2 linked regions of the Arabidopsis thaliana genome follow. The protein of the gene in region 1 purifies or fractionates together with the protein of each later gene. This does not show direct contact. Each region holds a gene or a part of one and is shown in the gene's direction. Other genes may lie near its edges. The genes, in order: RPT6A and RPN1A.

Evidence for each region.
Region 2: the proteins of RPT6A (region 1) and RPN1A purify together in Arabidopsis thaliana (affinity purification with mass spectrometry; 2 studies listed by BioGRID, with this or other methods). This does not show direct contact.

The regions. Positions count from the first base shown.
Region 1 is NC_003076.8:6,749,931-6,753,853, forward strand, and holds the start of RPT6A (regulatory particle triple-A ATPase 6A), read left to right. Parts: upstream 1-1,867; 5' UTR 1,868-2,030; exon of another isoform or gene 2,031-2,173; 5' UTR 2,174-2,213; coding exon 2,214-2,415; exon of another isoform or gene 2,416-2,813; coding exon of another isoform or gene 2,814-2,841; intron 2,842-2,923; coding exon 2,924-3,021; intron 3,022-3,098; coding exon 3,099-3,323; intron 3,324-3,438; coding exon 3,439-3,501; intron 3,502-3,585; coding exon 3,586-3,749; intron 3,750-3,923. Other genes in the region: GONST4 (golgi nucleotide sugar transporter 4), read right to left, coding at 1-1,002. UniProt on the Arabidopsis thaliana protein: The 26S proteasome is involved in the ATP-dependent degradation of ubiquitinated proteins. The regulatory (or ATPase) complex confers ATP dependency and substrate specificity to the 26S complex.
Region 2 is NC_003071.7:8,857,264-8,861,186, forward strand, and holds the start of RPN1A (26S proteasome regulatory subunit S2 1A), read left to right. Parts: upstream 1-1,698; 5' UTR 1,699-1,947; coding exon 1,948-2,064; intron 2,065-2,384; coding exon 2,385-2,485; intron 2,486-2,624; coding exon 2,625-2,745; intron 2,746-2,823; coding exon 2,824-2,883; intron 2,884-2,982; coding exon 2,983-3,093; intron 3,094-3,296; coding exon 3,297-3,362; intron 3,363-3,444; coding exon 3,445-3,566; intron 3,567-3,709; coding exon 3,710-3,824; intron 3,825-3,923. Other genes in the region: GPRI1 (GBF's pro-rich region-interacting factor 1), read left to right, coding at 104-259. UniProt on the Arabidopsis thaliana protein: Acts as a regulatory subunit of the 26 proteasome which is involved in the ATP-dependent degradation of ubiquitinated proteins. Required during embryogenesis. Required for optimal plant growth and stress responses. Required for innate immunity.

The DNA.
Region 1 (3,923 bases):
CGGAACCAACTGCGTCAACTCCTCATCTTCCTCTCCCTTCTCGCTATCTTTCTCGCTGACCTTCTCAATGGGTTTATCCAATTTGACACTCTGCTGATAACCAACACCTCCACAGATAGTAAAAAGAAGACAAACCAAACCAACAGGAGTGGCATGCTTATCCCAAATCAAAACATTGATGACAACAGTCAAGAACTTGTTAACAACACCAGTGACTGTAAAAGCAGTAGCAGAGATAGCATTCCTAGCAGCAAATCCAAAGTAACTGATAAGGAAACCAAACACACACGACGCAGCCACAGAAGAAAACGCATAAGGCTCAAACAAATTCCCTCTATTCTCACTCAACGCCGCGAAAACCTCGGTGAATTCTCCAGTAAGAAACCAGAACACCGGTGCTATCATCAGAGACAGTAGATTATTGTAGAGAACCAATCCCCAAATGTTCAATTTAATATTAGAGACCATATGCTTAATGTAAACCATTTCAGTAGTAATGGTAACAAGATAAGCCAAAGCCCATGAATAAGCCGTTAGAGTAAAAGACGAGTCAGTTGCAACATACCCAACAGCTCCAGCGAGGATAACGACGAGAGACAAAAACGTAAGTCTCGAAGGTAAAGGCTGACTACGAAACACAGTATCAGCGATCGCGACTAAGAGCGGTGTTAGAGATCGGAAGACGATGAAAGTATCGACATTAGCGTGACGGAGGAGGTTTGTGTTTGTGAAGATAGCGAGGTAGAAGACGATAGCTGCAGGGAGAAATTTCTTAGCAGTGTCCCATGTGAATGGATCGTGATTGATTAACCCTGATTTGCCGAGAAGATAGACGGCGACGGTGCAGGTTAGGTATTGAAGAGCTGTGAGGAGACCTGGGTAGTTGAAGTATGTGATTGCTAATTTGTTGATTACGGCGAGGAGGCTTGAGCAGAGTGCGTAGCCGATTACGAGACTGCTTGTTGTTAATTGTTTGTTTGAATCGAATCGAGAGGACGACATTGTTTTGGTTTTTGGTGGAGGTTTTTGGGAGATCCAGATCGGTGAAGATGAAGAAGAGAGGATTTGGGATCTGGATCGGATTATTCAGAGACTAATTAGAGGAAGGCGACGACTTCTCTCGTCAGTGTCTTATCGTACGGGACAATTTTGTTAGTAATCTTTTTAGTCACTTTGAGTTTAATTGTGGTGTTAATTTTGGTCAACTCACCATTAATGGAAGAATATTAAACATATTGATTTTGTCTGTGTGTATGTAGAGAATTTTTGTTTGTTTGTAGAGAAATTATTGTGTATTTTGGACATAAACTAGTCAATGCACTAATTAAGCAAATAATTGAGATTGCATGTAGTCATTGTTGAGATTCACTCTCTTTTAGATTAACGATATGTGCTGAACCAACGCTTAAATAAACATAATAAATCTAAAATTGTTGTCATCTGGCTGTACAACACAAAGCTGTACAAAATTTTAGATTAACGGATCTGATTGTTTACAATAAGTCGTATAAAAAATTTAGGTGTACGTTTTTTCGGAATATTATAAAGCTGTAAAAAAGAACGGTACGAGAAAACCTTACAATAAAAGTGAGAGTAAAACTTTTTGTAACACTTTTGATAATCTTTTTGTGTTTTGTATAAAAAAAAGCTATACAAATTGTAATACTTTGTTTTTATTCACCAATCAAAGTCGTTGATGTTGAAACATGTTGTTGAGACATCATGCATCAACTACACTAAAATGTTATTCAAATCTTTGATCTAGTAATAAAACATGTTTATGATGTGTATTAAAGTAAGATTTAAACGAAAAAGAAGAAGTTATTAATCCGAATGTTTCAAAGTTTCAACTATCTCCCTCGACAACTCTCTTCTTACTCGATAAGGTGAAACTTAAATTACTAACAAGCAGAACGTTTTATCTCTAAGATGGTTCCAACGGCTTATTAGCCACCAGCTAGAGTAAGCCTGAGAAAACGTAGACTCGAGGAAGGACTCTAAACGAACTAGAAGGTTAAGACAAGCAAAAAGTAAAATAAAAATATTTCTATTGTTGAGTTAATTTCCTTTTTATTAATTTAGGTGATATCATATAATGCTTCGCGTGAGGGTTTCTGAGATTCTGATCGACGAAAACTAATCTCTCTCCTTTTTCTTCTCATCTCCTTACTAGAGATCTCTGTCTTCGATAATTTGTTTCAATCACTGAGAAAATGGCGGCCGTAGGAGTAGATTCGAGGCGTCCTGAGACAGCGATGGAGGAAACCTGTAACGTGAAAGGAGCGGCGGCGAAACAAGGGGAAGGGCTTAAGCAGTACTATCTCCAGCACATCCATGAGCTCCAGCGCCAGCTTCGACAGAAGACTAATAACCTCAATCGCCTTGAAGCTCAAAGGAATGAACTCAATTCTCGAGGTCTCTTCTTCCTTCTCTTACCCTAATTCTCTGCAAAATTGGATCTTTTTTATCATCTCCTTGTGTTTCGTAATCTCAGATTCTGTGCTAGGGCTTTCGATTTCGTTCCAATTGGAGCTGAGTGATTTCAAATTTCAAAATTGTTGTGGTGATTTAGTGTTTCCGATCTGGAAGTGATTAGTCTTGATTTTAGCAACATTAACTTGTTTAGATTTCTAGATTCTGTCTTCTTGTTGGTTCTTTTGCAAAGTATGTGGCTTTTTTCAGGAAAGCCTAGTTATTTCTTCACTATCTTCATTGAGGAATATATACTTTTGGAAGGAGCCCATATAGTCCTTTCCACTATACCATGATTTTAGTTACACATTTAAAGTTATAGAACAGCTTCTGTTGTCATCATGATCACCATCCTATTTATGCATGAAGGTTTTCTTACTAGTCTTTATAATTTGTAGTTAGTTCTAAATCTCAAACCTCGTTAACACTAAAATTATTTCTAATTGAACAGTGAGAATGCTCAGAGAAGAGTTACAGCTCCTTCAAGAACCTGGGTCCTATGTGGGAGAAGTGGTAAAAGTTATGGGAAAGAACAAGGTCTTGGTTAAGGTATGAATCTTTTTTATTATCATGTTTGTATTTCTACGAACATAGTTGTCAGTAAGGCTTACACTCCCATTTTCCAGGTTCATCCAGAGGGGAAGTATGTTGTTGATATTGACAAAAGTATAGACATTACGAAAATCACTCCATCAACGAGAGTTGCTCTTCGTAATGATAGCTATGTTCTCCACCTGGTTCTGCCAAGTAAAGTAGATCCCTTGGTTAACCTTATGAAAGTTGAGAAGGTTCCAGACTCCACCTATGACATGATTGGTGGTCTTGACCAGCAGATTAAGGAAATAAAGGAGGTATGCTTAGTGAATGAGAAACCGAAACTAAAAGTCACTACAGTATTGGCTATCTCCTCTGTTGTTTCATCCTTTTAATGTTTATATAATATCTATATCTTTTCTGGTTTATCAGGTCATTGAGCTGCCAATCAAGCATCCTGAATTGTTTGAGTCTCTTGGAATTGCGCAGCCAAAGGTACACTTGAATCTTAAACCTTCTTCTCCATATTGTGATGATGCTAAGTGGATTAGACGTAATCTCATCTCTCTGTCTTTCTAGGGTGTGTTGTTATACGGTCCACCTGGAACTGGGAAGACACTATTGGCTCGGGCTGTTGCACATCACACTGACTGTACTTTCATAAGAGTTTCTGGTTCCGAGCTTGTCCAGAAATACATTGGAGAAGGTTCTAGAATGGTCAGAGAACTTTTTGTGATGGCAAGGTTAGTATATGGTAGTCCCTATTTTAAATTTCAAGCATGGTAATAGTGGTTGATAGGAAAATATGGAACTGTTGATAAGATAACATCTTTTAACATGTCCGCCATTAGTTGCTATAAAATGGACATGAGCTGTTAAGTTAAATGGGGAAAGTGTTCTTTGTTGCTACAATGAAT
Region 2 (3,923 bases), on another chromosome or scaffold:
TCTAATATAATGAATTGATTGTTGTCGAGTTTTGACTTTTCGCATTTGATTATGTAATTATGTATTTTTGACTTTTTGTGTATATATATTATAAATGGAACAGTCAAAAGAGAGCGTGGATGCAGCCATAGGAGATGTATTGACGAGGCCATGGCTGCCACTTCCGTTGGGATTAAATCCGCCGGCTGTTGACGGTGTTATGACAGAGCTTCACCGTCACGGTGTCTCTGAGGTTCCTCCGACCGCGTCTTGTGCCTGAAACGCACAAGATCCGTAGGCAAGCGAGAACCAAACAAAAATTCGACGACATGTCTTTCAATTATTGTACTTTTATTTTTCCAAGGGTTGTTTTTGTTTTGACCCTTGTTGTGTTAAGAGTTACTCTTTACTTAATCGTCCCATGTGACTAATAAGGAGACCCTTTTCATATGTATCTAGGGTGCTAAGTACACTCTAGCTCTATTAACGCAAATAAATTACCTATATTTTCTCTAACCATTGGTGATTTAGAACTTGATTGCTTATATAAAGTTTTTTTATAAAACATAACACAACAAATTTCCATATCAAATGATCATATGGAAATTGGAAGCGTTCAAAGCAAAGTCGCAAACGACGACCAATTGATTATAAAGAGGACAACCTCACGAGTATATATACACTTATAATTTATAAACATAACTTATACTTAAAAATACCAGCCGGTTATATATGGTGAAAAATGAGTAATGAAATTGTGTGTTTACCATGCATATATTACCGTATAAAAACGTATTGTTGGGATTGAGAGAACAATGGCATAAAATAATAATGAGGAGAGAGGGAGAGGACCACGAGATAAGAGGAGAAGGAAGTGCATGGAGGCAACGTAAAATCCAACGTAACGACCTCTTCTTTCTCCAATTGTGACCACTCTCTCTCTCTCTCTCTCGTCTCCTTCAAATTTGAATGGTCCCTCTCTCTTCATAATTGATAATTCATATACATGCGGATACTATTACTAGCATCTCATTTTCCACTCACACTTGTACACATATGCTTTTTATAAGTACGTATTTATAGGCAAAAGTAAATATATTCAAACCCTACATGCATGGTATTAAAATCCAATATAACCAAAATGAATACTCGGTTCAAATTCAAAAATTTAAAGGACTTTGGTCGAAGATAATGAAGACAAATCATTTTTTTTTGTTCTAACCGGACATTCCAAATCGAAATGCACACTAGTTTTTGGTGCCTACATCTACATTGGCTAACTTTTACTAAAATCATAGTGAAAATAACAAAAAACCATGGTCTCTATAAACTCTTTGGTGAAGATTTCAACTACTAAATTACCATGAGATAGATGGTCAAAAATTGTCAATATTGAATTTACAAGGATCATGAGATATTTCAACAATTTTACTAATGACCAGATCCAATGCAGTGAATTAGACGAAACTATGACTTCACTAGGTTGTGAAAGAAAAGCTTGTCTTGCAGTTTTGTCTGCGACCGGTCGAAAAGAGAATGAAAATATGTCGAAATCCTCTTCAAACGTGAAATAAATTAACTGTCATAAGGATAAATTATGTTTGTTCAACCATACAGAAATATGATGAATAAATAATTTTAGACATGTGGGCCCATGTAAGAAGAACTCACTAAATGAGCCCAATACGGTTAATGGGCTGTGACATTGAAAAAGAGGTTGTAATGGGCTGATTGATTCTATAGTGTAGAAATCTTGATCGAGGGGTTATCTTCTCCGATTCCAATATTTAGATTCTTCTTCATATATTATTGTGCTTTGATTAGAGAGTTGCAGAAGAGTTTTTTTTGTTTTAATTCCTGCAATCAGAGAGTTTTCGATAGCACAAGCACAAGCTTCTCGATTCGTTTGAGTGTTCAAATTTCAAGCTTTTTACAAGGGGTTCCTTAGATTGATCTGTTACTGTAGAGATGGCTCCAACTCAGGATCCCAACAGTGTCGGAGGCGGTGCGAAGAAAGATGAAGCTACCTTGAAGGTTCCGTCTAAGGATCCCAAGAAGAAGGACGAGAAAAAGGATGAGGATTTGGTAAAGTTTCTTCTTTCTCGGTTTTTTGATTTATCGAATCCTTTTTCGACATTGTGTGTCGTGTTTAGTATCTGGGTTCATCAGAAACGAATTAATTTCAAATCTGTAAGATCTGCAGTTAGGTTTTTAATTGGAGTCTCGATCGAGTTGAAGTAGGGGTGTTATAGAATTAGGGTTTTTAATCTGGCAAAGTGAGTGTTTTGTTCGTCATTAGACTAGCCGGATTAGAAAGTTGTTAACTTGTGATGTGAGGAAAGTTTTTTTTGTTTGTATATGGTCACTTTCTTAATGACTCGACTTACATTGGGTTGTGATTGTAGTCTGAAGAGGACTTGGAACTAAAGCAGAACCTTGAGCTCTATGTTGAGAGGGTTCAGGATCCTAATCCGGAATTGCAGAAGGCTGCCCTTGAGAGCATGAGGTAATTCTTGACTTGATCAGCTTCGGGTTTTCAGATTATTGCCACTGAAGCTTGTACAACTTATAAAGCTTTTTTTCTTTCTCTCTGCTCTTGGTGTACATGTTTATGTTTTTAATTAGAGTTTTATTTGGCTTTGTAGGCAGGAAATCCGAGCTTCAACAAGTTCCATGACTTCAGTTCCCAAACCACTAAAGTTTCTGCGTCCCCATTATGGAACTCTTAAAGCGTTTCATGAAACAATGGCTGATTCTGATCTCAAAGTATGTCATCATTGATTTCAAGTCATTAACAATTCTTATATTGGTATGGCTTAAAAATTACATTTGCTATGTTTGCAGAAGTACCTGTCCGATATCCTGTCTGTCCTGGCCCTTACCATGTCTGCAGATGGTGAAAGGGTATGCTTCTACTGACTTGGGCATACTTTGTATTCTGATTTGTATTTTTTAAGGCATACTTTGAACTGCTAATCACTTTCTTTTACAATATAATTCCAGGAAAGCTTAAGGTTTAGATTGATTGGAACAGAGGGTGACATTGGATCGTGGGGTCATGAATATGTCAGGAATTTAGCTGGAGAGATTGCACAAGAGTATACAAAGCGTCAGGTTAGAAATCAATTTTCGATTTTGTCTTTGGAAATTCAGTTTCTCGTCCTAGGACTTGTGCAGATATTCTAAGATTGTTGGAAGTTGTGTTTGGGTTTATCCTTCTGAATTCTGATGGTTGGAGTTTTGAGGAATGACTAAATGTGTCTTATTCAATGAGAAAGGTCACTGAGTCATATTTATCTACCTGTTCATTATCTCAGAGTGAGGAGGCCTCTATTGACGATTTAATGGAGCTTGTGCAACAAATTGTTGCTTTTCACATGAAGGTGAATTCCTAAACTAATAGGGCTTGAGATTAGCACCTCTGCGATTTATTTATTTCTAAACGATTTCATTTACTCCTTGCAGCATAATGCAGAAACCGAAGCTGTTGATCTTTTAATGGATGTTGAGGATCTTGATCTCTTACTTGAGCATGTAGACAAAACAAATTTCAAGAGGACATGCAACTATCTCACAAGTGCAGCTAGGTACTTTAAACATAGTCAATCCTATTTATTTTATTTTTCCTCACTCTTTGTTATTTGAACTGATCTTGTAGAAACAAGTGGTGAGCTTTGTTTATATTTGCTTCCAAAAATCTCTCTGACGTCTTATATATTTGAATTTTCAGGTACCTTCCTGGACCAGATGACATGTTGGTTCTAGATATTTCCTACATGATTTACATGAAGTTTGAAGAGTATCCAAACGCTCTGCAGATTGCACTATTTCTTGATAACACGCAGGTAGGACTTTAATCTTTCTATAGAACGTAGTTTCATTTCATTCTTTCTGCGTGTGAAGCATTTGGAAAAATCAATCCTCTATGTTTTATTTCGAGTATT